Pelodiscus sinensis: one gene and its partners. The protein of the gene in region 1 interacts with the protein of each later gene in a pairwise test. Links are inferred from orthologs where the notes say so. Each region holds a gene or a part of one and is shown in the gene's direction. Other genes may lie near its edges.

Region 1 (7,546 bases):
TCTAACCTCAGTGTGTTAACCTGGATTGGGATGCTCATTTTTGCAGGCTCCAAAATACAGTAAACTTCCGATAACCCGGCACCTTTAGGATCCAGGGGGTGCCGGATTATCAGATTTGCTGGACTATCGGAAGGGGGGGCTATGAGGGGTCTGGGGTGGGAGGGGGGGATGCCTCCGGCTTCCTGGAGTCTGCCGCTGGTCAGTTTCAACAGCGGCTGAATCCAGATGCCTGGGACAGAGCAGCTGGGGCACTGCCGGGTTGGTCTGCTAGCGCCAACCCTTGGTGCTGTGGGACCAACCCGGCAGCACCCCAGCTGCTCTGTCCCAGGTGTCCCCAAGTCAGCTGCTGCTGAAACTGATCAGGGGCTGATTCCAGGAAGCCCGGGACAGAGCAGCTTTGCCTCGGGCTTCCTGGAGTCAGCCGCTGATCAGTTTCAGCAGCGGCTGAATCGGGGACAGCTGGGGGCAGTGCTATGGGACCAACCCGGCAGTGCCCCAGCTGCTCTGCCCCGGCTTCCCCGATTCATCCACTGGTCAGTTTTAGCAGCGGCTGAATCGGGGAAGCTGGGGGCAGAGCAGCTCCAATGGTCCAGCTGCCCGGAGCACTTCTGGGTTCCTGATGGTGCCGGACCATCAGGAGTGCCGGACCATCAGATGCCAGACCATCGGAGTTTTACTGTAGTGTGTAGATATATCCTTAAAAGACTCAGTTTACCCTGTGACTCAGATTTATAGAGGATTTCTATAACTTTATTCCATGAAATTAAAAAAAAAAAAAACAAATCACTTCACAAACTATTTTTCAAAAATCATGCTCTGATAATGTGTCATCTGCCAAAAAGAAAACATTAATGTTCCATCAGTAACAAGTAAATATTAAAACACAATTTGCTTATTAAAAAGTCTATTTTGCCTTTCTCTCCTGTTTTTTTTTTTCCTGCTCTTCTTCCATTTGCTTTCTCTTGTCCAGATTCTATTTCTTTACTTACACAGAATAGAACTTCACTCTATGAGAAGTGCCTTTGAACTACTCATGGAGTACAGTTGCTATCCAATATGAGTAAGGATATTAGAATCTGGCTCTTCTGGTTTACAGCATTTTCTTTTTTTAGTCTATTCTCTTTCTCACATCTCTTATTTTCTTTAACTCTCTTTCAAAAGTTAATATTTTAAATAGACTAGATTTGTGTCAGTTTCCCATATGAGTTCTGTCATCTTTTTCTCTTTAGGTGACAACTGGTACCTACATTACTCCTGGGGGATTCTGCACCAAAAAATTAAAAATTCTGTGCACGATATTTTACAAAATTCTCCAAAAGGTATTTGTCAACTTATCACTATATAATTGTCAAGTATGGGTTCTCTTGGCCAGGCCTCAGCTATAGCCAGATCTACCTCAGCAACCTCACCACCTCACATGGATAGCAACAAGGCTTATCTACCAATAAAATGGAGCTTGTCAGAGTCCAGCACTCAACACCATATATGGGCCTCACACCACACCCAAACTGCTCCCATGCCACTCCCTGAGCACAAACACCACCAAATATGGTAATAGGCAAGAACATAAAAACCTCTCTGCCCTTAGCTCTGGGAGGACTCCGGGATATTGGAAGACAGAATCTGAGTCTGGCTTAGGACTGATCACCCAAAGGCCGCCTCCCACCCACCGATCTAAAAAGTCTAAAAAGGGGTGTACAATCTCGAGCATGCTCCGTTTCCTTGTGTGTCTTTGTGTTGTTGTTGCTGAGTTTGTAAGTATTTAATTTACCCCCACTGTTGTTAAGTTGTTTAAAAGAGCCAGGTTAGAAAAAATATTGCTCTGTGGTAACTTTTACCCTTGCTATTGTCAGTGTTAAAGAAACCCTTGCTATTGTCAGTGTTAAAGAAACAGTTTTTTTAAGTGTGTATATATTTGACTTAGCTGTAACTTAGGTAGGGCTTAAAAGTTGTTGTATGGTAAATATTAGGTAGTTGTTCATTATATTAGGTAAATGTTAAGTAAATATTAGGAAGTTGTTCAGCTTAATAAATCACTCCTTCTTTAGTAAAACTTGTTGTTTTGCCATCATTCTGTATTTTCACTGGGTATTTGGCCTTAAGCCTCTGGGACTCCTGCCATTTTATCGAACCAAGAACCAACAATAATCATGCCAGTTTCATATATTTTGGTAACTTATTTCAAAATACCTGTCAGCAAGTATGTCTATAAAACGGGGGTGGACAATAAAAAAACAGCAGGCCGCGGGGTTAGTCCCTACCGGGTCACCGCCTCCATGTTTACCTATGCTTCCGCAGGTATCAGAGGATCATAGCGCTGGTTGGCTGTGAATCGCTGTTTGCAGCCAATGTGATCCTACGATACCGGCAGTGGCACAGGTAAACATGGAGGTGAGGGATTAAACGCCAGAAACTACCCCTAAAGACTGGATCCGAACCACAGGCTGGAATTTGCCCACCCTGCAATAACTATACAGATATACACATACAAACTCCCTTAAGAGTAGTGTAGAAGCTGTAGAAACCATTTTCATGTTTAGCTAGAAGCCATCTTGTATATCAGAAACCATTTCAGCTTTTCTCTCAAGCACGTAGACCAGAGTGAACTTTCTGTCACCCCGTGAGAAGAGGCCTACAGGATGGGCTATTGGTATGTGTTAATTAGGCTGGTTGGGACAGGAGATGTACTCCCTCGCACCTGTCCGCCATCTTGTTGATAAGGTTTGGTTTTTCCAAATTTAATTGAGGATTTCTGTAATTGGATGCCCTGACGTCAGACTGTTTGGCTAAGGGTATAAAGATATTAGAATTGATTGTATTAGCAGCCTTACTGGGTCTGGCTCTGCTGTGACCACGTTTGGCTCATGCTGTGCTTTATTAATTAATAAAGCTGTTTGTTAGCTGTCTAAACACAGAGGAGCGTGTTTTTGCTTCTACAGTAGATAGTTAAAGAAACCCCTATGACAACCCAGTTCCTGTTTCTCTTCCCTCTTCCCCCTATAGTTCAGCTTGTGATGAGAGATTTTGGCTCAATTGCCCAGAATGTCTTACAACACTTTAAATAGAAATCTGCAGGAACAACCTCACAAAGAGTTGAAATTCACCAGAATTATTATTGGCTTAATTGAACATGAGTGGTGATAATAACATGACCCTTTGGAATACTTAGGACAGTAATCAGTTTTAGGAATAAATCTTTAATTAAATACAAATGGAGAATAGCTTAAATTAGAAAATACAATAATGGTGGCTATAGCTAGGTTATGTAATGGAGTGGGGAATCCATAGGAATACATAGGAGCATGGGTCAGCAATGAGTCCATACACAAATATTAGGGATTGAAATTAAGTCTGTGGTAATTTTTCATAAAAATTCATATTCCAAGCTCTGTTGAAAAAAGTACATGGTTTATCTATGTACATCTTACATGTACTACTATAGTCTATGTGCAAATGGGCCGAGCCTTCAAATTCATCTAGGAGGCCAAAGTCACTGACCTACTTTCTTACCCGGGATGCCAAAGATGCACAGAATGACCTTTATCAGAGGGGTAGCCATGTTATTCTGAATCTGCAAAAGCGGCGAGGAGTCCTGTGGCACCTTATAGACTAACCGAAGTGTAGGAGCATAAGCTTTCGTGGGCAAAGACCCACTTAGTCAGATGCATGTCGTGGAAATTTCCAGAGGCAGGTATAAATATGCAGGCCAGAATCAGGCTGGAGATGAGGAGGTGGATCCAATCAAGGAGGATGAGGCCCACTTCTAGTAGCTGATCTGGAGGTGTGAATTCTTGGAATTCACTAGAAGTGGGCCTCATCCTCCTTGATTGGATCCACCTCCTCATCTCCAGCCTGATTCTGGCCTGCATATTTATACCTGCCTCTGGAAATTTCCACAACATGCATCTGACTAAGTGGGTCTTTGCCCACGAAAGCTTATGCTCCTACACTTCGGTTAGTCTATAAGGTGCCACAGGACTCTGCGCTGCTTTTGCAGAATGACCTTTGCCTTGCTTACAGGTTAGCCAGTTACAGTGGAGTGGGCCTTTGTTTCAAAGAAATTGCTGAAAAATACCCCAAATCTGCTCCTTTTTAAAGACCGCACGGTGGTACCAGGACTGCAACAAGAAACGCCAAGGACTGAGGTGCTAACTTGTGGCCAGAGTCAGTATTGACCATTGCTTTGTCTCCAGCTCTGAGCGCAAGTCCGGAGTTTTAACGTGCTCGACCTTTACCCAGCCTGCAGCGCTAGAGACTATAACTCCCAGCATGCACTGCTCGCTTACTACCCGCTTGCAGACGCCACTTGCCTCTGGGTAGAGCGCGGAACGCCGGTTAAGTCTGTCGCTGCCCATCCTGGGAATTGTAGTTTACTCGGGGCTGCACTACGGAGCTTGGTTGGGAGAAGCCGAGGCGCGCTGCACGCTGGGATCCGTAGTACACATGGGGCCCCGAGGCATGCTGGGATATGTCGGAGCTAGTTTACGCAGTGGGGTGTGAGGCTGGGCTTGAAAGCGCTCTAGTGCGTTGGTGGCGTGCGCTCGCGGGGCTGTGTGCGCTCGCGCGATCCAGGTGCCCGTTGAGGAGCGGTCGGTTGGCCGGGATGTACCACAGCAGCACGCAGAGGCGGCACTGGACCTTCCGCAGCGAGGAGGAGCTGGTCCGCTGCCGGGCCGACGCCAACCGCAAGTTCCGCTGCAAAGCGGTGGCCAACGGAAAGGTACCGATCGGCCCCGCTCGGACAGAGCCCAGGCTCGGGACTGGGGCGGCGGCGGCGGCGGCGTGTGGAGGAAGGGTCAGTCCCGGGGACCTCCTAGCTGGAGCCGGGCGCGGGGGATCCCCGCGGCGGCAGCTGTCAGCGTGTCACGAGTACTCGGCGCGGCTGCCGCTGGCTGCGAAGGGAGGGGCAGCGGCAGCAGAGCTGCGCCGGGCAGCGGGTAGGGGCGAGCCCCGGCGTTTCGGCGGGGCCCGAAGCAGCTGCCGAGCCCGCCCGGGTGACGTTGCCCGTGTCCTCAGGTTCGGCAGAACGACTCGCTGCTGCTGGAGACCCGGGAGGAGCTGACAATCTGCAAATACTATGAGAAGAAACTGCTGGATTTCTGCTCCGTGTTCAAACCTGCCATGCCCAGATCCGTGGTGGTGAGTTGGGTACCGAAAGGACGCGGCCTTTCCTTTGCAGACTGCCCCTGGCCTGAGACACCCAGACGTCCAGCACCCTCAGTAGCTTCTCGCAAGCCATGACTCTGGGGGCACTCGTCGCATCTTCTGAGCATTGGGTTTGTGGGGAATGAAAGGACTTGAGCCTTGCTGTCACCAAAAGAGCTCGGGGGAGAGGGGCTTGATATTTCCATCATTGGCTTTTTTTAGGTTTGTGCCTTTGTTTTAACTGTGGGTGGTTTCTTGTTGAGATTATTGGGTACTGCTACCAGAAACGCTAGTCCAGAATCAATGCAAGTGTGTGTGTTTTCTGATTAATGGGAGTTGGATCAGGCCAGTAGAGTTTGTGGCAAGTCTTTCAAATACTCTTGCTCAGGCTGACTCCCTTCCAGAGCAAAAGTGTAGAGGAGGAAAATTTACAACTGACTGAATCAGTTTTAGTGACTCTTGCTCTTGTGCTGTGTGTTCCTGTAGTCTGTGCATTTGCATGGCTGCTCAAGATAGATTCAGATGCTGTCTGGCTGTTCATCAGAGTGCCCACAGCTAGGTTTTTGTTTATATTGGTGGTGTACATTTTCACATGCAGTAGAAAGATTTATTCAACACATGGATGGAAAAGATTAGAGGGATCCTTGCTCTTATGTGCCAGATTATTGCATGTAAAATTGACAAAGTAAATTGATGAAAGAAATTCAGATTTAAGTTTTTTTTCTTTTGGATTCTGTGCTTGACAGACTTTATTATATTGCATTCTGTGCTACGTGTGACGAAGGTTAACCCTGTTGGTTTTGTTCTAGAAACTTACATATGTTGTGTTTTTAAAACAAAAACAAAAAAACAAACAAACTTCTCTCCAAGATAGGGATGTAATAGTATAGCTGATTAACCGATAAGCAAAAGCTTATAGGTTAACGTTATAGACTACATGCATTTCCCTCTCCCTGCCAGTAAATTTTTTAGCAGGTTGGCTAGCAGCCTGTCTCACAGTCCTGGCTTGTGATAGGTCCAAGACCTACCCCTACTGCAGCTCTGCATTTAAAATGTATTAGGAGCTGGATGGTCAGGCAGCCCAGCTCAGTCCTGTCTCACACCGGGTCAAGGAGCTCAGACACTTTTCCCCCCTGCTTCCCCTCCCCGAGACAGGGACTGCTGCCACCCTGTAGTGCTGCTTCTTCCTTAAAAGCAGCAGCGCAAGGTGACAGGCAAGCCAGGTAGCAAGGGCAGCTGGTTTTTAAACTAGCTCCCCTTGCAGACCAGCTTACACCTCTCACCCCGTGCTGCTGCCTCTAATACAGTGGCTGCTGGCCCTGCCCCCCCCCCCCGGGACTATAGACTAGTCGACTAACCGATAAAATGTCATGAGGTTACTCGACTGTTCAATTAACTGATATTTAACATCCTTAATCCAAGGCGTTACTTCTCAAACTATAGTCTGAAGTTTTTCATGTTTCAAAATATTTCATCTACAAATCTAACCAATGGAGAGGGGATTTGAGGTGTTAAGGAAAAAGAGCTCATGGAAAAAATTTTAGGTTTAAAATGGATTCAGTGGTACAAAAGGTACTTTTTCATTTAGAATTAGTGACCTGTTTTCTAGAATAGGTGGGTGGACAACAGTCAAACTTGGAGAAATCTGAATTTCTTACAAATTAACATTTTAGCTAAACATCCAACAAAAAACTCAATAGAAATAGAAACATGACAGAGTAACTGGGGGTGGTTACTGGACTGCATGTCAGTGTGTCTTTTCAAGATGCTGATGTGTAATGGATAGAGGGGAATGATGGCACAATGGTTAAGGCCCCCTTCAGTCTAGAGTTGGGTGTGTATGCTTCTTTGAGTTTGGGTTTAGCTCCTGCCCTTTGTGTCAGTATTTCTGCTGAGTAGCTTAAGTGGCTCACTACTCAGCTTGACTTACAAGGATCCCTTTAAGTGCTTAACTCTTTTGCATTCTATGGGAAGCTAAAGCGCCTTATTCAGGGCTGAGGGGTCTACTGTCCAGCAGATAACTTAAGAGTTAAATATTGCAGTAACCTCAGGATCTAGCCCTCCGTTTCTCTGCACCTCACTTCCCTGTGTGTACTTATACACCCTACTTATTTTTGTGTGGGCAGAGTGCAAGGTATAACAATACTTAATTATCTTGCAGGGTTATTGAGGATAAAATATGCTGAAGGTGGCTAGGTGCTGATTTTATGGTGGGAGCCAATAAATACCTTAGAGAAGGTTCTTAGAGAAGGTTGAAATCTGACTAGTGGATTAAAAAGTGTATATTCTCTGCATTGAACATTATCTATTTGCTGTTTGTGCTATCATGCCCAATTGGAACTTACTGACTCCTTGTATTTAGGGAACGGCTACTATGTATTTCAAACGTTTTTACCTGAAT
Region 2 (7,224 bases), on another chromosome or scaffold:
CAAAAGGGTTTTTTCCCCCCCGACAAATGGCCCCGTCTACACAGGGCTTTTTATTGCAAAAACCTCTTCCGCAAAAAGGATCAGAAGAGGATATGCAAATGAGCACAAGATATGCAAATGAGCACTCAATTTGCATTCTCTGTTCCGCAAAAAATGCACAGTGTAGACATAGCCTCAGAGTGAGAGGAGGTGCTAGGATTTTTGAAGACAGGATTAGAAGAATTGGCCTGAAATCACATGATGAAATTCAATAAGACAAGTGCAAAATACTTAGGAAAAATTAAATGCAGGAATGAGGAATAACTGTGTTGGTGGTAATACTGCTGAAATGAATTGGTAGGTTATTGACAGGATCACAACCTGCATATGAGTCAATAACATGTTGCAGGTGAGAAAAAGTCTAATATTCTTCTATAGTATTAACAACAGTGTCTTCTTTTTACTATATATTTTAGAAAAGCTGTTAGTTCAAGAACTCCTTCTAAACGGTAAGAGCTAGGACCACCAATTTTGGTGTGCAGCTTCCTCTTATCATAACTTAAAGAAAAAGGTAAGGATTCGTTTGTGAAAAAACAATGGGAAGAGCCTGGAATTTGATTGTTTCTCATAAAATGGAACAAGAGGTGTCTAGTAGGAGGGAGCTATACCACGGACAGGGGCAACAAGGGGCCAGAGATGGGGACCGGGACAGCTATAACCCCATTGAGCCAGCAGGGTGGAAGGTGGCGAAAGGGACAGCTAGCTACTATATCAGGGGTCAGCAACCTTTCAGAGGTGAAGTGCTGAGATTTGACTTATTCACCTCTATGTACGGTCCGAGTGCTGGTGATACTTTTTTAAGTCATTGATAGTGCTACTTGTAGCAGTTTCATTAATAAAGAAAGATACAGATCTTACCTTTTAGTGCTGGGATTGGCAACCTTTCAGAAGCGGTGTATCAAAATTTAGCTTATTCACAGATCTGTGTGCCCGGGAGGGGGGGAGGCTGGGTACAGTGACTATATTTTCTGAACCAGTTGCAGCTAGGGAGAATGAAATTATGAAACAATTAAGCATTTTAACTTTCTCATATTAAGCTTATCAAACTTCATTTTAAATAAAGTAAAATATTATGTCCAACACAAAAGGTTTCTATGTTTTCTTTATTTATGGCGGGAGTGGGGAACCATTTTTGGGTCAGGGGTTACTGACCCACAGAAAAATCAGTTGGGGACCACACAAATGAGAAGCAAAAAAAAACCTCCTTCAAAACCCCCCAACCCTCACTGATGTGGCCCCCAACTGAGACACCTCACTGGCTAGTGCCCCAGCCTCACGGGGCGAGGGGAAGGGAAGGGATAGGGGGACTGAGATTCAGGGCTTCCCATAGACCAGATTTACTTTTCGGTGGTTCTGGAGTTAGTGGATTTTAGGGACCCCCTTAGACTCTGGGGTAAAGACAAAAATGAGAGGTACAGTGTATGAGACAGGGCTACCAGCAAGTAGGATAGGGATGGGTGCAGGATCTGGGAGGTAGGGTACAGAAGGTGGAGAGGTTGCAAGGTCTGAGTGGGAGGTAGGGTACAGAAGCAGGCTGGGAGTAGGGTGTCTGGCCAGGTGGAGGGAGCAGGAACAAGGGAGGGTGCAGCAGCAACGGTGGGTGCAGCAGCAACAGGGTGGGAGTGCCTGCCCAGGAGGGAGGGTGCAGGAACAAGGGAGGGAGTCGGAACAACTCAGGGGTACAGCGTTTTGAGGGGAGTGAGTGTGGGTGGGGTCTGGGCATGAGGGGACCCCTTACCCGGCTTTGCACCTCCGTGCAGCAATGGCTGTGGCCATACTATCCCAGGCCACTCCGAAGGAAGGCCCGGCTGTCACTGCCAGGGCCCATGTGGTGCAGGGCCAACCCCAGAGGCCCTATTGTTGTGGCCACATGGTCTGGGGCTGGCTCCAGAGACCCTGCTGCTGTGGCCACATGGTTTGGGGCCGGCCCCAGAGGCCGGAGGCGCTGCTTCCATACAATTCTGGATTGACCCTGGACCGCATGGCCACAACAGAAGCACCTCTGGTTCTGGCTGAGGGGCCACTGAGGAGCCTCAGCCCTGCTTCCTCCCACTGCAGCATAACCTGCTGCAGGCAGAAGGGAGTGTTCGCCAGTGGCTGTGCTGGGCTGGGGGAGGCTGAGCTTCCTCCTCTGTGCTGCTGCTGAAAATTGGCTTGCAAGCCATAAATGGCACACGTGCTGTAGGTTGCCGACCCCTGTACTATATCTATCTAATCTATCTATCTCATAGAGCTTGTCTGTGTTTCTATTTGTCTGTCCCCCAGCCAGTGGACATGGATCCATCCTCCAACTTTGTCTGCTGCAGCTGCAGGGGCCACGGACAAATGCTTCTCACTTGGCTGCAAGTTGCTGTGGTGACGGAGGGCTGGGATCGTCCTCTCTCCCCAGGGCAGCCAGCATACTGAACCCTTCATCCCCCAGCCCACTCCCAATAGCAATTTAAATGAAGAGCAAAACTCACTTAAGGACCCAAACAATGCTGGGTAAATCTTCTAGTATGTAAGATATGGAACATAAGTGTTCCACTGTATTTGGCACTGATGAGCAGGGATGATGTGTGAAGGGGGATAAGAGGATATGTGACCCTCAAAATATCCTGGACAGTAGGGGCAAGGGGCCAGTGCCTTTGATCAGCCTGGGAAACTAGCAAAGTTAGTACACCATCATTTAGGGCTAGGTGTTCCTTGCACGGTATCACGCATACACCACCTGCAGGCTGGTAATCAATCATACATTGGGTGTAATAAACTGATTAGCACTCAACTCTTTTTATGCCTTGATTTTTTAAAATAAGGGTTTTTATTTTATTTCTAAAAAGCTTAAGTATTAAGTAGATCTAGCCCTTATCAAACTCTGCCTCTACTACCCCTTAGGAAACAAAGGGCGGGCTCTCTTTTGATTAGAGTATCAGGCAGTGCTTTTGAGATCTCATGAGCCTTTTGTTATCTTAATCACCTTTGCCTCTTTATAAACAAACTCCCTGCAGCAAAGGCTGTGGCTGCTCTCACCTGCCTTTTAGAAGTCACACTCAGGGTTGCCAGGTGTCTGATTTTTAACTGGACAATCCAGTATTTGAGCTTTCTGTTCAGGAAACAAATTGGCTGTGTCTACACTGGGCCACTTATTCTGGAAAATCAGCCGCTTTTCCAGAATAAGCTGCGAGCTGTCTACACTGGCCCTTGAATTTCCGGAAAAGCAACGATGCTCTACTGTACAAAATCAGCCGCTATTCCGGAAAAACTATTCTGCTCCCGCTCGGGCATAAGTCCTTATTCCAGAACACTGTTCCGGAAAAGGGCCAGTGTAGACAGCCCAGTAGTCTTTTCTGGAAAAAAGCCCCGATCGCGAAAATGACGCTCGGGGCTCTTTTCCGGAAAAGCGCGTCTACATTGGCCACGGATGCTTTTCCGGAAAAAGGGCTTTTCCAGAAAAGCAGCCTGCCAATGTAGACGCTCCTTTTCCGGAAATACTTATAACGAAAACTATTCTGTTTTAAGCAGTTCCGGAAATTCATGCCAGTGTAGACACAGCCATTGAGAAAATATCCATGTCCGGTAGTTTCTAAATAAGATGTAAGGTAGATTGTGCCGTAATGTCAAGTGTGTCCGGTATTTCTGACTCTACCTGGCACCCGTAAGTGTTGCAGTTAAGGTCTCTCTGGGGGGTGGGGGGGAGGGACTAGGGGGAGCAGACCCGGGTTCGAAAGGCGGGGTACAGCGCCCCCTCCCTGGCTGGCGAAGCAACGTTTCTTTCCGCCCGAGGAGGGAGACCCGCACCTCCCCCTCCAGTCCCATTGAGCCCCCCCGCTTCCCCCAGCCTGGCGAAGCGGCCGTTGCCTCCCGCATCCGCCCGTTTGGCTACGCGGCGCAAGGCAGCAGCGGTTCCCGGTTGCTGACGAGCCGCTGCAGGGACAGCCGGGCCGCGCGCAGAAGCCCACGAGCCACTCGCGCAGCCCAGCCCCCTTCGCAGGCGTGTCCCGGCGCAAGTTCCCGAGCGGCCCCGGCCCGAGCGCCGCGAAGGGCCCCCAGGCGGCGGAGGAAGAGGAGGTGGGTGCTGCGGCTCTCTGGCCCCTGGGCACAGGCGCTTGTTGAAGGTGTCCTAGCAACAGCCCGGCCAATGGGAGCAGCGCCGTGCCGTGAGGGGGCGGGGCGATTAACCCTGCGGGGCCCGAGCAGGGCTGGACTGAGTGCGGCGGGGCTGCTGGGCTCGCTCGGGAGTCGACTGCCTCCCCCGCCCCCTCCACGGCGGCAGCAGCAGCAGGTGGTGCCATGCGGGTGAGTTGAGTCCGCGCCCGGCCCTGGGCTGCTCGAGTTGAGGCGTTGGGGCCTCTGCCTGGCGCCGTTCGCCTCGCTGAGCCGCCCGCCGCGCTAGGAGCCGCGGGGCTGCGAGCGGAGAACGGCGCTGGCGGGCGCACGCAGAGGGAGGGGGGACCCGGCACACACGGGCGGGGGGACTCGCGGGGGTGACTTCGATACACACGGGAGGAGACGTTTGGCCGGGGGGGGGGGGGACTTGCGCACAGGTGGGCGAGAGAATTGGGGGGGAACTTGAGCATACACGGGAGGACGGGGGTCGGGCACACTCGGAGGGGGAGTTGGCGGGGGGGACTCGCACACACGGGAGGGGGAGCTGGCGGGGGGGGACTCGCACACACACGGGAGGGGGAGCTGGCGGGGGGGGACTCGCGCACACACGGGAGGGGGAGCTGGCGGGGGGGGACTCGCGCACACACGGGAGGGGGAGCTGGCGGGGGGGGACTCGCGCACACACGGGAGGGGGAGCTGGCGGGGGGGGGACTCGCGCACACACGGGAGGGGGAGCTGGCGGGGGGGACTCGCGCACACACGGGAGGGGGAGCTGGCGGGGGGACTCGCGCACACACGGGAGGGGGAGCTGGCGGGGGGGACTCGCACACACACGGGAGGGGGAGCTGGCGGGGGGGACTCGCGCACACACGGGAGGGGGAGCTGGCGGGGGGGGACTCGCACACACACGGGAGGGGGAGCTGGCGCGGGGGGGACTCGCGCACACACACGGGAGGGGGAGCTGGCGGGGGGGGGACTCGCGCACACACGGGAGGGGGAACTGGTGGGGAGTAGGATGGAGGAATGTTTATGTAACTGCCATGGGTGTGTTACACTGACACACACCCAGGGGATGAGGTGATGGTGGGGGGGGGAGAGACTCTAACGCACACAGGGTGGAGTTGGGGAGGGACGGAAAGGGGAGACCCTAGCACATACCTGGGAGCAGTCAGAGGGGTGGAGGAATGTTTGTGCACGTGAGATGGGGGAAATGGGCATGGGGGGGGGACACTTGTGCATACCTGAGGGGGCAGTTGGTAGAGGGTCCATTTGCACAGACATGGGCACGGGTGCTGGAACAATGTATATATTGGGTGTGCTGAAAGCCAGTAACCAAACTGTAAACATATACATTGGAAAGCATTTCAAGCCAAGGGGTGTAAAAGCTTGCCTAGTTCCAGCACTTGTGCATACTGGAGGAACATGCAGTTGGGGTGGTGCTCTTACATGCACCTGCTGCTTGCCAGTTTTGGTTGGATGTATTCCTGGAGATTTCATCACATGACAATGTTTCATTAAAGATTTAATTCCTGGAGATTCCAGAACGCTCTTGGAGGAGCACATCCAGTATTCCCAGTGTTTTTTTCCCCATTCGTGTGTGGAATTAATGTTGCTCTATAGATGTGCACCACCATTAGCTACACATGCTGCTGGATGTGGACACTCTACTAATCAGTTGGGTGGCTCTGAATCTTTATTGGGTGGCCTTTTGGGGAACACTCTGCACATCATACACAAATGGCTGAGGGAATGCTTGTGCATATACTGGGGGAGGGGGAGGAATATCAGATGGCAGGGGTTAGGAGGACACAGAGAGAGAGAGAGAGAGCGCGAGCGGGAGTTGGAAGAAGCTCATGGGGATGCTTCTGTATGGGGGGAGGGTGGTATATAGCAAGGGGACACAGTCGTGTACCCACCGGTGATCGGGTTAGTAGATGGCAGGGGATGCTTGCACATTCACAGGGGGGAGTTGACAGACATTTGGGGTGATACACACTAAAGGGAGCAAATTGGCAGGCAGTAAGGGGAGGTGCTGAGGAGTTTGTGGGTGGTAGGAGGCACCCATGCATGCCCTAGGTGGAGCAAGGGAGTTTGAAGGTTGGGGGAGGTGCACATGTCCATGCTATGGGTGCAGTTTGTAGACAGTAGGAGAGTGGGAGGAACATGCATGTGCACATGGGGAGGAGGAATTTGCGGCAGGTGTGATTATGGGGAGATTGCAGGTTGTGGAGGCTTGGGAGGGATGAGCCTGCATACATTTGGGGGAAATTGCAGATGATTGTGATTGGGATGATGTTCACGTATACATACTGAGGGAGTTTGCAGAAGGTAGGTGCTGATGGAATTGCATACATATAGGAGAGATTGTAGGTAGTGAGGGTTAGAGATATGTGCCCGTGTACATTTGGGGGCAGGTGGTGGAAGCAGGGGAAAGTGGGTACATATATGGAAAAATTATAGATGGTGATGGGGACATGCATGCAAACAGCGAGATGTTTGCAATTGGTGCAGTTGCGCTTGTGCTCTTGGGGAATTTGCAGGTGGTTAGAGGGAGTTCATATGTGATGACAACTTGGGAGAAATGTGTGCATGGGGGAGGGGAATTTGCAGGCAGGAGGAATATGCCTACTCCTGCTGGGGCAGTGGGGATGCATGTGGAGTGAGGACACATGGAGAGAGTTTGCAGGCATTTGGGGGTTCATAGTCTGTGTAGGGGGAGGGTCCTTGTAAACTGTGTTCAAACGCAGTATTTTAATTACTTTGGGAATTAAGCTGTGTCTACACTTGAAAAAAATTGAGGCGTTAACCTCACCCCCTCTTTGCCCTGAAAGACACAAGTTTTTCTGGGACAAGTGTTCATGAGAATCTGCTAACACAGGGTGGTGGGACATGAGAACTGATCCACGCAAGTGAGAAGCAAGAAAAAAAGAAAAGCAATCCCCCTCCCCCCCCCCAAAAAAAAACCAAAACAAAGCAAAAAAAACCCGGCAACCCTCATTGACCTGGCCCATCTGGGAAGCAGGAAAAAATATACTCCCTTCACTCTTAGCCGCAGCCCACGGGAAGGAGTGGGGGAGGTGCCAGGACTGGATTAATTCT
Region 3 (7,733 bases), on another chromosome or scaffold:
AGAGCTTCAGTGAGAGCTCCTATCTGATCCGGCACCAGCGCACCCACACTGGCGAGCGCCCCTACAAGTGCCCAGCCTGTGGCAAGGCCTTCTCCCGCAGCTCCCACCTGGCGCGGCACCAGCGCACCCATACTGGCGAGCGCCCCTACCCCTGCACCGACTGTGGAAAGCGCTTTGGGCTCAGCTCCGACCTGGCCACACATCGCCGCACCCACACAGGTGAAAAGCCGTTCCGCTGCACCGACTGTGGCAAGGCCTTCTCACGCAGCTCCCACCTAGTACAGCACCAGCGCACCCACACTGGGGAGCGTCCCTACCACTGCGCCCAGTGCGGCAAGAGTTTCTGCCACGGCTCCAACCTGCTGCAACACCAGCGGACGCACCGCGGTGAGCGCCCCTACCGGTGCCAGCAGTGTGGCAAGGCCTTCAGCCTCAGCTCCAATCTGATCCGCCACCAGCGCATCCACACTGGTGAGCGCCCCTATCGTTGCACCGACTGTGGACGCAGCTTTGTACTGAGTTCTGACCTCCTGCAGCACCACCGCGTGCACACAGGCGAGCGTCCCTATCAGTGTCCTGACTGCGGCAAGGCCTTCTCACGCGCCGCCCACCTGGCCCAGCACCGCCGCACCCACACAGGCGAGCGCCCCTACCACTGCCAGTACTGCGGCAAGAGCTTCAGCCACGGCTCCAACTTCATCAAGCACCAGAGCACCCACTTGCATGGCTGGCAGCCTTGCTGGCCTCTCACAGAAGGTGGGGAAGGCCCCCAAGATGGCGGGGCCAGCAAGGAGGTGGAGAGGCAGGCACAGCCTTAGCGCACAGCAGTGCTTGGAGCATGGGACCTACTACACACAAGAATCCATTATTGCCATCCTCCTAGCCAGATCACTTGGATGAAGTGAGAACCTATTAAACACCATGGAACCCTGCTCCGGATGCTGCCGGGAACCTATTAAATGTTGCGGACCCTACTGCTGCTTTAAGAGCCACATCACAACCCACAATGTATTGTACATCAGACTATGCTGCAATAGGGTTCATAACCACCCAGCCTATCAAGCATCCAGCAACTCAACCCTGGCTCCAGCACAGTCCTTTGGGCTTGTTTAAGTTGGCCTGGTTTAGAAGCAAGTTTTTTGGGCCTGGTGCAAACATGATCTCAGCGACCTGCAGGTGAGAGCAGCCAAGCCATAGTTTGATCCTTGCTGTCAGATGAATGCAGCTCCCATCTATGCCAAAGTGCTTAGTACTTAGAGTGGAGGGCTCAGATCTCTCAAAGGCTGAGCGATTCAGCAGGCAGAAGCCAACCTGAGCCAAGTCAAACTAGCAATGAAGGGCAAATGTGTGCCAGGAGGGGGGATTCCAAAGCAGGGCAGCTCCTTCGGGGCTGGGGGGAGGAATGCTCAATCTCTGGGGGGGCACAACATCCAGGCCATGTGTCTCTGAAAGCTGTGTTCTAGCTCCAGGGTGAGCTCATGTGATACAGGGAGGCAGGTTGGGAGATGAATACTGTTCCTTCTCTCCTGTTAGCTGTAGTGGCATTCCCACATGTGCCCAGCTGTAGAGGGAGGCTCTTGTGAGCAAAGGCCTTAGAAGCTGGATCTGGGCCCTTCTTTTTGCAGTAACCCACCTCTACCCAGCAGTCTCATTTCCTCCCCTTCTGCCAGAGTTCAGCATGGCTCACACTCAAATGAGAAGCTGACCAGCAAACCCAAAGGATGTGCACGGGTGGGGGACGTGCTCCCAGAAAATCCAGCCAGCCAGGTGCCTCCAGATGAGATGCTACTAACCTCTCCTCCACCTGGCAGCATGCCCAGCCTGTGGCAGCTCTATAGAAGGCTGCCAGTTTGGAAGTACACTGATAGCTGGGCTGGAAAGAGGCATCTTGGATGAGGTTCTGTGGTCTGTGCTATGTGCAGGATAGACAGGTGAGTGCTGTACTCCACTGGTTCTCAGATGTCTGTGTTTGTGACCCCTTTCACCCAGCAAGCCTCTGTGTGAGACCTCCCCTTATACATTCAAAATACTTTATAAAAACACCATTATAAATGCTGGAGGCAAAGTGGGGTTTGAGGTGGAGATTAGCAGCTCTACCCCCATGTAGTAACCTCATGATTCCTGAGGGGTCTCAACCCACCCCCCATTTGAGATCCATAATCTCTTCTGGTCTTGGACTGTACACTCTTGTCCTAGTCCGTCCTTTACCCAGTCTGTGCTGCTTCCAGCCTTCCTGGTTACTATCACTTGCCCAGGTCTCTCTCTTGCCAGTACTCTAGCTTCTTTGGGTGATAAAGAAACCCCCCATTTCTGCTTTATAGCACTTTTAGGGAGTGATCCGTAGTTTGTCATGGGCTACGTTCTCGCTGAGTGATTTCTCTGAGAGCCACTGCCCTTGTCAGTCTAGTCTTCAAGACACACAGTGCAAAGAGACAGGTGACACTCATAGGCTGTGTTCTTCCAGTCTGATCTGGGAGGCGATTGAATCTGCCCCCCTTTGGAGGTGCTCTCCTCAGAGGCTGTTGCTGTTTCCTAAAGGCATTCTGCAGGGTGGGCTTGGGGCTGGACTTGACCAGAATGAGCAGGTTCTGGGCTGTCCCTCAGTGAGAACGTGGGAAAGCATAGCAGCCAGCTAGCTCAAAACCTCATGTTTAAGTCAGCAATGGCAAGGCAAAGAGGTGACTTGGTACCCGTCTGTTAGTCCCGGCCTACAGGGAGAAGTTTCTGACAGGCAGTGACATGGGCCCAGCAAGGCTGGGAACTGTTGCCACACAAATTAACACTGGCACTAAGGGGCAAGAATTTCCCAGGGGAGGGATTCCCCCAGTGGAAGAAGTGACCTGCAGAGTGGGAGGGAAGATTCTCCATTGGTTGGAGTCCTTCGGTCCAAAATGAGCTGTCTGCAGAAGCTACTAGGTGAGTGCTATGCAGGAGGTGGAATTAGACTATCCTAAAATAGTCTTAGAATGGAAATGTGCCTCACTGCCTGTAGTGCAGTGGTGGGCAACTTGTGGCCTATCAGGGTTCTATGTATGGCCTGCAAGACATTTTGTTTACTGTTGCCTGTGTGCAGGGTTGCCAGATTCTGCTGGTTTCCATCCACATTATTTTTTCCTACCAGTATTACTAAAGTGAAACACACACAAAGCAAAGGCACGTGAAGCAATGTGCATGCTGATTGCTCATACTATTGACTGCAAGAGCCATGCACGCCCTCTGCATCCAATCAAAGTGCTGCTATAGTTCATTTGGCAAACTCTGCAAATTCTAGGTATGCAAGTGCAGTTAGCAAAACAATTCTATCCCAGGAGACTGTCTTGGTTACAACAATCTTGCAGACCACTGAGATGGAGGGCAACTCATGCAGCCCATGCACTTGCCTAGTTTGCCCACCACTGCTATAGTGGCTTTGAAAACCTCAAGGCCAGTTCAGGCAAGCAAGCAGTGTGGAAGAGCTGTCCAGTACTGCTGCAGTGGGCTAATATGCTGCCAACCATACTGGCTTCATTATGCTTTTGTTACCAAGATGCATTGTGAAGACATGACAGTCCAAAACAGTGTGGCAATTCCCTCTAGGAACCAGCTAAACTGGTCAGTCATTCAAGGAGGATAAGGACACTGCTGAGATATACATGATCTTGTGGGATGATAAAGTCAGTAAGGCATCCAAGAGTTCATAAGAAAGAAGCTGCTGAGATTTTTGGGAGCACCTACTTATAAGCAACAAATGATGTGCCTCCTTAGAAAATCCTGGAAGTTTTATTTCATTCCTTGCTAAACTGTTTGGAAGAAACACAGTACTGGAAGCCATCAACAATGGGGGTAGGAAGAGCTCTGACTGATGAGGGAAAGTCAGGCTGTGCTGGTGCATTAGACTTTGTGGAAAACAGCTCCAAACTAAATGTCAGCGAAAGAGAATCCAGTCCTATCATTCATCTGAATTCACAAAAGTCTGTGGCAGAGTCTCTCCCGAGAGCAAGGAAACTAGAAAGGAGGCGAGAGAGATAAAGGCTTGACATCTACCAGAAATGTCCTAAGAGACAGGAACTAATGGGTAGCCTTAAATAAATGGTCTCCTTTCATTAACATTCCAGTCATGCAAATCATCCCAGCTGATTTCAGTAATACCTACTAGGGCACATTATTACTCATCAATGAGCAACTGCACTTCATTTTGTTTATTATGCAGGCTCATAGCATCAGTGTAGAGGCAATTAAATAATTGCTTTTCTTTGGGTCCCTTGTCTTGCTTCAGTTCCTTCTCACTAAATGATCACCACTCTCTCGCTCCTTGTCATACAACTGATTACAAACAAGCTGATACAAACACTGAGGGGGAGTACAACTCTGTATAGCCAACTCTGACTGAAGCTATTCCAGAAGATTATTTTCCCCTGACATGGCATCATCTCAGTTTCTTGCAATATTCTATTAAAAGCTCCTGGATTGCTGTCAGTAGTCACCTTGAAATTGAGGCCAATTCACGAAGGCTCCAGGCTAATTCTGGAGAGTTGGCAACTAAAACGGGGAGCCAGCCTAGCTCCTGCAGGGTTGAGTGCTCCCTGCAGTGTGGTGTCCTGTGGGGGTGCCCTCTGGCTGTGGAGATAGAGCTGTTGGAGGGCAGTGACCGAGCCCAGCTGTAGGTGGTGGGACTGGAGGGCGGGGGGGGGTCCCAGCAGGCTGGATGCTGCAGGTGGAACCTAGGCGTCCTGGCTCCCGTTGGTCTTGGGCTGGGGGCTGGAACTGGCCTTTCCCCGGCCTGCAGGCCGGCGGTGGGAAGGGAGGACCGCGGTCGCTTCAGGCCGGGACCAGTCTCCCGCCGCGGAGGTGGGAGCGGAGCAGGGCTCCCTCCGGTTGGAACGCGCGGTCTCCAGGCCGGGAGGGTGGGAACAGGAAGTGCGCGGAACGCTAGAGCTGCTCCTTGCTCGGGGTTGGCACTTCCTGTCCAGTTTTCGTGAAACGTCACTTCCGTCACTACATTGAGTCTGGGTACCCTGCGTGAAGGTACTTCCGGCCAAAGCAGGAAGGGGCTGGGACTGAAGCGGCGCAGCAGCGAGGGAGTCCCAAGCGGCATGGCCCTGAACGCGACAGGTACCGCCTGGGGGCGGGGCAGGGGTAGGAGCTGCCTGGGGCAGCCGGAGGGGCGGGTGTGGCTGGGGGCGTAGGGCTGAGGGAGGGGAGCTGGGTCCGTGGGACTCCCCCAGCAGAGCCAGGGCTGGGGGCATCTGGCAGTAGAGGGGGGCAGCCCCATGTTACGGCTTCAGCCCAGCTCAGCCTCTCCTGGGCACAGCGGCACCGCTCTAGGCAGGCATAGCGCTGCGCGAGCGATTCAATAGAAACCCCCTGCACCCGTCGCTGAAGTGGCTCCCTCTCGGGGCCGGGCGCAGGGTCACTACACTGACAGCTTGCAAGGACTGCTGTGCGATGGCTCTGCCAACTTCCTGTATCCTCCCTCAGGCAACGATGATGGGAACTGGGAGCCACCTTCAGAGGCAGAGCTGAAGGTGATCCAGGCACGGAGAGAGCGACAGGATAAGATCAGCAGGGTGATGGGCGACTACCTGCTCAAGGGATACCGCATGCTGGGGGAGTGCTGCGAAGAGTGTGGGGTATGACCTGGGGCCCGTGCGGGGAGCCCAATAGAGGGCACTGTGCTCCATGCAGGAGCAGAGGGCGGTGGGGGTCCCCCAGCTATCCATCATTAGTTGTGCAGGTAGTGTTCATGGCCAGCTGCATCTCTTCTAACCTGGACTGATGCCTGAGTGTACTGGGACCTTATAGGGAGCAGGCTGGGCCAGACCTGTCATGTGCATGGGCCTGTGGGTCTGATCCAGGGGGGATACTGGTTTGGATGGGCCCATTGGTCTGCTCTAGCAGCCAGGGGGGCTGGATACTAATCTAAGTGGGCCTGTGCATCTGACTGGGAGAAAGGGAGGCATAGTGAGCTGAATGGATCTCAATGCCCTGCTCAGTGGTTCTGGAATGGGAGCTTCCATCACCCAGGAAGAGTTCCCTCCACTCCCAGTATGAGATCCTCCCCTTCCCATGTTACCTATTCCACCCATCCATATACATTGTGTTCCCCTGTAGAGCAGCATAGGCTGCTGGGAAAGCTGCTCCACTTCAGGGTCATGAATTCTAGTCCCTTCCATGCAACAGGGCTCCCAGCCTTCTGAGAGAGAATTATTGGATTCACCTCCTCCCTTTGCTCCCTCTCCCTCATTAGAAGCCTAGGGGTAATTCTAGTCTGCCTCTGCATTAGAGATAGAGAGCAGCTTTGGTGTCACTGCTTCCCCCAAGTTGGGCCAATCCTCTCTCTTATTGTTATGCCCTGAAGTCCCACACTAGTCTGTCTCCCCTTTGCAGACCATCTTGCTCCAAGACAAGCAGAGGAAACTTTACTGTGTGGCCTGCCAGGAGCTCAACTCTGACATCGATAAGGACAACCCAGGTATGGCCCTTCCCAGCATCATGCTGTCTGCCAGGGAGGGGTTGGAGTGACTTGGGAATTATGGGGGAACTAGCTGATTCAGAAGCCAGGGAATGAGACATTGGTAAAACGGAAAGCATGTCACAGAAGTCTGTGACTTCAGCAACTTCTGCAGCTGGCACGTGCTATTGACCTGAGAGCCACCCCAGAAGCTCAGGCAGCACAAGGGCCATCTGTACTTCTCCCCCCCCCCCCCCACCCGATCCCGCTGCAACAGTAGCAGTCCCAGGACACCCTCCCCCGGTAGCTGTGGCAGTGCTAGGCCATCCCCTGCCTGCACCAGTGGGTGCACCAGAAGCCACCTTTAGATCTCCCACTACAAGCACCAGCAGGTGTCCTTGAGCCATCCTAGCATCAGTGGGCACCTCGAGCTCCCATCCAGAACATACAAGATAAGTCATGGACAGGTCACAGGGCCATGAATCTTTGTTTATTGCCCATGATATATCCATGGTTTTTTTATTAAAAATACTTATAACCAGGGCTCGACAAATTATACAATCTACTCGCCTATGGCGAGTAGATTGTAACCCGTAAGAGCCGGGTTTGGGCGATCTGCGCATGCACAGAACGATCTGCACACACACAGATCACTGGACAGCGCGGCTGGTGAGCGGGGCTCGCCACAGTTCGGCGAGCCCTGCCTATAACTAAATCTTAGCTTTAGACATAAGGCATTCCCTTCTCATCCACTCTTATCTAATTCTGGGCACTGCATAGAACCCACCTGGTATCTGGGCTCTGTAAAGCCAGGCACTGCACAGAGCCATAGAAAGAAAGACCCTGCCTGGAAAAGCTCATAGACTGAGCAGATCCAGGATGGAGAAGGAACAGGCACTGAGAGGGGAAGGGACTTGCTCAAGTTTAGTGGCAGCACTGGGAACAGATCCCAGGTGTTGTGGCTTGCCTGCCCTCCCTCACTTCAGCTGTGGACTGTGACTGCACCCCATTCTGCATCCTGCTGGCGCTGGAGGCAGCTCTGGTACTGGCAGATCTGATCTCATCTGTCCTCTCTCTTTCCAGCACTGAATGCCCAGGCTGCACTATCCCAGGTCCGTGAGCACCAGCTGGCCTCCACTGCAGAGGAGGCCACGCCCCTTGGGTACCTCCCAGCCACTCACCAGCAGCTCCATGTGCCACGACCAGAACATTGTGAGGGGGCAGCTTCAGGACTCCGAACTGCCGCCACTGCAGCTGCCATACCACAGGCCCAGCCTGCCCCAAAGCCTGCCCTGCCTGCCAG
Region 4 (7,894 bases), on another chromosome or scaffold:
AGCCTCCAGGGACCCAGCCCTGCAGCCAAACACGATGCCAGCTCTGCCTACATATCTAGACTAGCGAATTCATCACTGGAGCCAACAACATCAGCTACCGAATCGAAAGGTCATTTGACTGCACAGCCAGAAATTTGATCTGTGCCATCAAATGCCAGCAGTGCCCCACTGCTATAGATATCGGACAAACTGGGCGGTCTCTGTGGGAACGAATCAATGGGCACCAAGCAGAAATATGTAAAGGAAATATACAGAAACCTATTGGGGAACACTTCAGTCTTCAACATCACGCTTTAAAACATGGGTTCCCAAACTGGGAGTGGTGCCCCCCAGGAGGGTATAAAGAAATTCCAGGGGGGGACACAAGGCAGCCCAGGTCCCCCCTCATCAATCACCCCCCCCCCAAGTTTTGCTGCTATTTTTGTTTTTCAGCTTCCCATTAGTTTCTTTTCTTTTCTTTCTTTTTTGTTTTTGCTCAACAAGTTTTGTTGCTATGGGGGGGGGGGGGGAGTTTCTCAACAATCAGAAAGGGGGCGTGATGCCAAAAGTTTTGGGAACCGCTGCTTTAAAAGAGCCCCAAGTAGCTGTCTTGTCACAAACCAGGTCTACAAGCCAGATCCACAGGGCAGCATTAGAATTAGAGTTCATCCGCAAAGTCAGTTCACATGCTAAGGGACTGGATGGTGATGAAAGTTGGTTAGGACACGACCAATTTAGCAGCTCTCGGTGTAGCATCCTTCCTGACATGGGAGTCTATCTATTGACTTTGATTCTTAGCTGCTTCAGTTTAACTAGCTAATCTTCTGATACTTATTCTGACGATTCCCTCTGCTTGCTGTCTCCTACCCCTCCCTTTTTCTTCCCGCCCCTCTCCCCTTCCCCTCTCCTATTTATTTTGGGTGTACACATCCTAAACTCATAACTCCGGTCATCTGAAGAAGTGGATTGTGCCCACGAAAGCTCATGATCCCATCTACATGTTTTGTTAGTCTATAAAGTGCTACCAGACCATTTGTTGTTGGTGGGTTTTTTTGGTTTATACCTGTCGCGCATCATTCCAGGAGGCCTTGAGCTTTTCATTTAAAAAAAAAAGAGACTTGATTTTTCAAATCTGGGTGCATAAGGCAACTAAATCCATATCTGAGTCACTGTACGATTTGCAGGGGTGCTGAGTACCTGTGAGTCATAGCGCCGTTACTGAAATCCCTTTTGGTGCGGGGCAGGGATGTGAACGACTCGCCGCCTAATTGCTCCCTGTCACAGTGGTGCCTAAACTTCTCAGCATCACATCCCCTTTTTGATTTTTGAGAAACCCTCACGGCCCCCCCAAAAAATAGCAGCAAAACTTGTTGAGCAAAAAAAAAAAAAAGTTGCCCTTTTAAGAGCAGAGCAGGCTTTGCCCTTTTAAGGTGACCATTTTGAAGTCTACCTGGGACATTCCATCCTCCCCTGATTTTTTTTACGGGAGGGATCGGGCTCTTTCTTGGGGGGAAATTGATGGGGGAGGGTTCGGTCGCCTTGCACCCCCACCCCTGGAATGTTTTCATGCCCCCCCAGGGGGTGCACCCCCCAGTTTGGGAACCTATGCTCTATCAGAAAGAGGCAGCCAGTGGGGGGAAGAGGTAGGGGTGTGACGTAGTGGGGGTACCTGGCTGGTTTCTATGCTGCTGGCTCTGGGGTAACCCCCACTGGCTGCCGTGGGTACCACGACCCAGCAAAACAGGATGAGTCACTATGCAAACCAGTGGCCAGACACCCCCCATGGAGAGGAACAAAGGAAGGGGGAATGCTGCCCTGGCTGGGGGGCAGGGCTGGAAGTTGGTTAGTGAGTTGGTGGCTGTCTGGGAGCATGGAGGAGACAGCCTAGGGAGAGGAGCTGGAGTTTAGGGGCCCAGTCTCCCCCCAACTCAAGGGAGCCTGAGGCATCCTAGCCCAGCTCTGTGACCAGACTACATCTGTGCTGTGCTGTATCCTGGAGAGGCAATAAACTTCCTCTATTCCACCGGCTGGTGCAGTCTGTTTGTGCCATTTCGGGGTGCAGGAGACGGGGGACCCCAACGCACCGTCACAAGGGGTGCTTCAAAGTGGCAGTGCCGCGTGGAGCCAGGGTCAGCTGGGGTCTCCCCTGCTGACCCTGGGCTCCATGTGGTGCTGCGGCTTTGAAGTGTAGCAACAGCCCTGGGATGTAAATTGCATCGACTATTCGATTAGCCAATTAATCAAAATGTTACATCCCTAGCGCGAGGCTTATTGGCAGAGCAGGAACGCGTTAACCCTTTCAATGCTGCCCTCTCGCACGCGTGCAGCGAAGCCAAATGACACATTGATTCTATATTGATGGCTGTGGGTTTGTGCAAAATAAAGTCCTACTTCCTGATTGGCCCCAGACTCCCCATTTCGCACTAACAATCCGGCCACTGAAATGAGCGGAATGCGCCTCTTTTGACACCGGCATACGCTGGGCGAAAGGTTTAAATCGTGAGCTTTGTGTTTCACCGGGAAAAAAAGTCCCGACAACGCCGATGAGAGTTTGCGAAAAAGATTTGCTCGCAACATGAACATGGCTTCCCCCCTTCAGCTGCCATTGCCATGCAAGGAACATGTGTACAGTTATGAATCCCCAAATCATTCGGTTACGGAACGGAACGGCAGCTTTCCGTCTTTCGGATTCAGCTGTACCACGTCTGGGTCATTAGTCCCCAAAACGAATGATGTTTGAAGGCAAAATCCTACAAGTTGGAAGCGGTTCTTTTACTCCCCTTTGGCGAGCACGTGAATAAAAAATTCTAGGGCGTCTATTTCACTGCTTGAACTTACCTGTCAGCGTAATTGACGCAGAACGGCTTTGCCCGGTCAGGCACGCGCCTCCGTGGCTAGTTTCAAGATTTATCTGGACAACCGTTTCGCTTCTGATCATTGTAGCGGAAACACCCAGTTTAGGAAAGGCATCCAAAAAGGGCACCCCAGCTCCCTCCTGACCTTCTGGCAGGGTTCACTCCCTTCGCCCCCAATGAACAGACACCTGTCGGTCAGGTAGTCGTAGAATCATAGAATAATAGGACTGGAAGGGACCTCGAGAGGTCATCGAGTCCAGCCCCCCGCCCTCAAGGCAGGACCAAGCTCCGTCTACACCATCCCTGACAGATGTCTATCTAACCTGTTCTTAAATATCTCCAGAGAGGGAGATTCCACCACCTCCCTTGGCAATTTATTCCAACATTTGACCACCCTGACAGTTAGGAATTTTTACCCAATGTCCAATCTAAACCTCCCCTGCTGCACTTTAAGCCCATTACTCCTTGTCCTGTCCTCAGAAACCAAGAGGAACAAATTTTCTCCTTCCTCCTTGTGACACCCTTTTAGATATTTGAAAACCGCTATCATGTCCCCCCTTAATCTTCATTTTTCCAAACTAAACAAGCCCAGTTCATGAAGCCTGGCTTCACAGGTCATGTTCTCTAAACCTTTAATCATTCTTGTCGCTCTTCTCTGTACCCTTTCCAATTTCTCCACATCTTTCTTGAAATGTGGCGCCCAGAACTGGACACAGTACTCCAGCTGAGGCCTAACTAGTGCAGAGTGACAGACACATGACAGACACATGACATTTACCAGTGCTACCCTATGGCAATCCAGGAGCCTGCCAGCTCTTTCCCCTGCTTGCTTTCACCTTGGTGTGGGTGGCAAAGGGTTGGCCAGCAGCCGGCAGGGCCTGGGCGTCTGCAGGGAATACAAGAGGCCTGGTACCCACAGAAGGGCTCCAGCCCCCTCATTCCCGTCGGGGAAGCAGAGAAACAGCCCGAGCTCTGCTTTTGGGGTAGTCACAAAGACAATTGCCTTGCAAACCAAAAAGCAGGCCACAGGCCCTGGTGTGCCAGCACCGCCGAGATACCCCTGTAGGTACCCACAGTGCTGCAGTTTGCAGGTGAGATGCCCTACACAGCCCCACACCGGCCCTCGCCACGGCACACGGGAGGCTGAAGCTGTGGGGGAAAGGGGCTGCCGACTCTCCTGCATCGGTCGGACGGAGGTTGGGAATGGCCGGCACGGGACTGGCACTGAGCTGGGGGCTGGTGGTAGCCGGACGGATGCTCCCTTCCCCCATCATCCCCATCCCCTCTCCCCCAATTTCTCCCTCCCACTCCTCCACTTCTCATCTCCAGCAGCAGCCTCTGCCTTTCAGGGGAGTCCCGGAGAAGCCGTCCCATGGCCAGAGGCCCCGGTGAAGGGCATGGTCTGGCCGTGCAAAGGAAGCAGCCCCCCCAGAAGGGGCTTGGCCAGAGAGCTGGAGGAGCATGGGGTGGGGGAGGGTGTCACCGGATTGGGGCTGAGCTAGATGCAGGTGGCCGGGGGCTGGCACCCAGGCGGGCCCAGGCCTGTTCCGTTTGGGCCCCTCTAGGCCTCTCTGCAGTCTGGCAGGACGGAGCTGGCACAAGAACCCGGCTCCCAGCCCCCCCCCCACCATGGGCAGAGGGCACAGCCCTGGGGCTAGTCCCTGCCCCACCCCCGACCCATAGGGCCCTGGCCAGCCTCTGCGCTGTGGCCCCCAGGAGAGGGGGGGCTAGATCGCACGATGGCAGGATGTGGCCGGCCCCAGGGCCATGCCGGGGCCCCACGAGCTCACAGCAGCTCCTCGTGGGCCCCCGACCACCGCAGGGAGAGCAAAGGCTGCTCCGGGGGAAGGGGGGCCTAGTGGTTACGGCCCCGGGCTAACGCTCGGGGGCGGAGGAGGCCGGGCGCTCTGCAGGGGGGGCCGCCACGGTGAGCAGCACAGGCGACCCCACCCCAGCTGGCCCCGCCCGGGGGGGGGCGGAGCCCGGTGCATTGTGGGTGCCGCCCATGGCAGCGGCAGGTGAGCGCGGAGCCAGGGGCGGGCGGGCGCGGCGCAGACGTCGGAGGTTCCGGCCGGCAGGTGGGTCCCGGCGGGGTTGGGGGCTCCCCGGGGCGGGCAGCCCCACGCGCGTCCGTGCGCCCTGCCGGGGCTGGTGCGCGTTTGCGCGCGGGAACCCCGTGTGCGCACCCTGCGTGTGCACGGTTCGTGTGTGCGCACGGGCCGCGCGCGTGCCCTGCTGGTGGGCCATAGGCTGCGTGTTGCACTTTTGTACGTGCGTGTGCACACCTGGGAAGGGGGGTGCCGGGCCTGTCCCGCTGGCGCTCCCCTGCCCGTGCGCACCAGGCTGTGGGTGCCCTGTTTGGGTACGTGCGGGCTGGGAGTGCCCGGTGCCTTGTGCATTTGGGCTTGTGCACGGGTGGGGCGTGTTGCTCCCGCGTGTGCCCCGCCTGGGCAAATTTGGTTCTGTGCCACACCAGGTGCCCTTGCTCCGTGCGAGGCTGGTGTGACTGGTTCTCCGGGAAGGGAGGGAACGCAGCATCCAGCTGGCACCCAGACTGGGGCCCTTCCTCCCCTGTGTGGACTCTGCCTTGGGGCGCCCCGTCCCGCCCGTCTGCGCTACACGTTCCCTGCCAGCCCCACTCAGCCCCGCATCCCACCCTTGGAAGGATCAAAGCTCACGTCCTGTCCCACCCTGAGCGCCCCCTTTCGGGCAGGGCCCCTGCCCACTCCAGGGGCAGAAGGGCGCCGGGCCTGGCTCCAGGGAGCTGGGAGGGAGAGGGGCGCAGGGACCGCCCTGGCGGGGGAACGGCCGTGCTCAGGGTGCCCGCTCCCCGCAGGCTCGGCCGTGCCATGTCCGTGGTGGCGGAGGCCGGCGAGAGCCAGCCGGCGAGGATGACGGCCGATGACATCGTCGCTGGCACGCGCCAGGTGCTGAAGGGGCTGGAGGCGCTGCGGAGCGAGAACCGGGGCATCGCGCGGCGGCTGGAGGCGGCCCTGCTTCAGGGCCCCGGGCCGGAGGGGCCCCAGGTGCTGGAGCTCCTGGAGGAGAAGTACGACCTGGTCCGCAAGTCGCTGGAGGGGATCGAGCTGGGGCTGGGCGAGGCAAAGGTACCGGCGGGGCTGGGCCAGCACCCCAGGGCAGTAGAAAGGCGGCTGGCTCCAGGAGCCGGGGCGGGGAGCCCCTGGTTGTTGCAGCCCCACCTTTCCCAGTAGGGGGCGCTGTGGGGAGCAGGGCAGGGGCACTGGCTGGGGGGAGCTCCTGCAGCCCCAGCCTGTCCCAGTAGGGGGTGCTGGGGGGAGTCCCAGCTGCTTTAGCCCCACTTCCCAGCAGGGGGCGCTGGCTGGGGGAGGGGGAAGAGCTTCTGGCTGCTGCAGCCCCAGCCTCTCCCAGCAGAGGGCACTGTGGGGAGCAGGGCAGGGGCACTGGCTGGGGGGGAGCTCCTGGCTCTCCCAGCAGGGGGCGCTGTGGGGAGCAGGGCAGGGGCACTGGCTTGGGGGGGAGCTCCTGGCTCTCCCAGCAGGGGGCGCTGTGGGGAGCAGGGCAGGGGCACTGGCTGGGGGGGGAGCTCCTGGCTCTCCCAGCAGGGGGCGCTGTGGGGAGCAGGGCAGGGGCACTGGCTGGGGGGGAGCTCCTGGCTCTCCCAGCAGGGGCCGCTGTGGGGAGCAGGGCAGGGGCACTGGCTGGGGGGGAGCTCCTGGCTCTCCCAGCAGGAGGCGCTGTGGGGAGCAGGGCAGGGGCACTGGCTGGGGGGGAGCTCCTGGCTCTCCCAGCAGGGGGCGCTGTGGGGAGCAGGGCAGGGGCACTGGCTGGGGGGGAGCTCCTGGCTCTCCCAGCAGAGGCCGCTGTGGGGAGCAGGGCAGGGGCACTGGCTGGGGGGGAGCTCCTGGCTCTCCCAGCAGGGGGCGCTGTGGGGAGCAGGGCAGGGGCACTGGCTGGGGGGGAGCTCCTGGCTCTCCCAGCAGGGGGCGCTGTGGGGAGCAGGGCAGGGGCACTGGCTGGGGGGAGCTCCTGGCTCTCCCAGCAGGAGGCGCTGTGGGGGCAGCGACTGGGGGTGGGGAGCACCTGGCTACAGCAGCTTCAGGGGGCCGGCCTGGCAGGGGAGGAGGTTTCCCTGCTGAGCCCGGCCCTGCCCTGGCCAGATGCTGGTGGCGCTGGCGTCCCACCTCGGGGCGCTGGAGGCCGAGAAGCAGAAGCTGCGGGCGCAGGCCAAGCAGCTCTGCCAGGAGAACCTGTGGCTGCGGGAGGAGCTGGCGGGGACCCAGCGGCGGCTGCAGCAGAGCGAGGAGATGGTGGCGCAGCTGGAGGAAGAGAAGAAACATCTGGAGTTCATGAACCAGCTGAAGCAGTACGACCCCAAGGAGGAGCAGGTGAGGCCCGGAGTCCCTTAGGCTGGGGGGCAGGAGAGGTGGGGCTGCTCCCCCGCTGGAATGGGGGGAGGACCCTAGGGGGCACTGTGGCCAGGTCCCCCCTTGGCTGACCAAAGCTCTGGGCAGGGAGGGGCCGGGCCTGGGTTTAGGGCTGTGGTGGGGGAGCCCAGCCACGCCCCTGCTTGCCCCAGCCGCTCCCCTGTCCCCGTAGCCGGAGGAGGTGGCCCCGCGGCGGAAGGACAGCCTGGCCTCCCTGTTCGCCAGTGACGAGGAAGAGCAGCGGCAGGGTACGTGCCGGGGGGGCTGGCAAAGGGGCTGTGGGGCTGCCGTGGGGCCGGCTCACTGCCCTCGGCTCTCTGAGCGCCCCCCCCCCCCCCCCAGCCCCTCGGTTCCGCCCTCAGGCGCCCGGCCCTATTGGCGGGATTGTTACCAGCGCCAACCAATTAGCTAGAGCTTTGAACCAGGCTGTGCACCCAGCTCACTTGGCCCGGAGTACCCCCTGCCTGCCCCCCTCCCCACGGCATCTGGCCCGCAGTACCCCCTGCCTGCCCCCCTCCCAGGCATCTGGCCCGCAGTACCCCCTGCTGTCCCCCTCCCTGGCATCTGGCCCGTAGTACCCCCTGCCTGCCCCCCTCCCAGGCATCTGGCCCGCAGTACCCCCTGCCGTCCCCCTCCCTGGCATCTGGCCCGCAG

What was found.
Region 2: the proteins of CCNH (region 1) and SSX2IP interact in binary tests that used the Homo sapiens proteins (3 or more experiments, as listed by UniProt). The link is inferred for Pelodiscus sinensis from reciprocal best matches to the Homo sapiens genes CCNH and SSX2IP.
Region 3: the proteins of CCNH (region 1) and ZNRD2 interact in binary tests that used the Homo sapiens proteins (3 or more experiments, as listed by UniProt). The two-hybrid records come from large-scale screens. The link is inferred for Pelodiscus sinensis from reciprocal best matches to the Homo sapiens genes CCNH and ZNRD2.
Region 4: the proteins of CCNH (region 1) and KLC3 interact in binary tests that used the Homo sapiens proteins (3 or more experiments, as listed by UniProt). The two-hybrid records come from large-scale screens. The link is inferred for Pelodiscus sinensis from reciprocal best matches to the Homo sapiens genes CCNH and KLC3.

What each region holds. Positions count from the first base shown.
Region 1 is NC_134716.1:76,318,357-76,325,902, forward strand, and holds the start of CCNH (cyclin-H), read left to right. Parts: upstream 1-4,479; 5' UTR 4,480-4,603; coding exon 4,604-4,720; intron 4,721-5,016; coding exon 5,017-5,139; intron 5,140-7,507; coding exon 7,508-7,546. UniProt on the Homo sapiens protein: Regulates CDK7, the catalytic subunit of the CDK-activating kinase (CAK) enzymatic complex. CAK activates the cyclin-associated kinases CDK1, CDK2, CDK4 and CDK6 by threonine phosphorylation.
Region 2 is NC_134719.1:29,851,146-29,858,369, reverse strand, and holds the start of SSX2IP (afadin- and alpha-actinin-binding protein), read left to right. Parts: upstream 1-4,156; 5' UTR 4,157-4,314; intron 4,315-7,224. UniProt on the Homo sapiens protein: Belongs to an adhesion system, which plays a role in the organization of homotypic, interneuronal and heterotypic cell-cell adherens junctions (AJs).
Region 3 is NC_134721.1:36,059,301-36,067,033, reverse strand, and holds the start of ZNRD2 (protein ZNRD2), read left to right. Parts: upstream 1-4,726; 5' UTR 4,727-5,072; coding exon 5,073-5,091; intron 5,092-5,457; coding exon 5,458-5,609; intron 5,610-6,366; coding exon 6,367-6,451; intron 6,452-7,513; coding exon 7,514-7,733. Other genes in the region: coiled-coil domain-containing protein 87-like, read left to right, coding at 1-818. UniProt on the Homo sapiens protein: Might play a role in mitosis. Antigenic molecule. Could be a centromere-associated protein. May induce anti-centromere antibodies.
Region 4 is NW_027465849.1:7,073,662-7,081,555, forward strand, and holds the start of KLC3 (kinesin light chain 3), read left to right. Parts: upstream 1-4,803; 5' UTR 4,804-4,912; intron 4,913-5,670; 5' UTR 5,671-5,683; coding exon 5,684-5,941; intron 5,942-6,973; coding exon 6,974-7,201; intron 7,202-7,412; coding exon 7,413-7,488; intron 7,489-7,894. UniProt on the Homo sapiens protein: Kinesin is a microtubule-associated force-producing protein that may play a role in organelle transport. Plays a role during spermiogenesis in the development of the sperm tail midpiece and in the normal function of spermatozoa.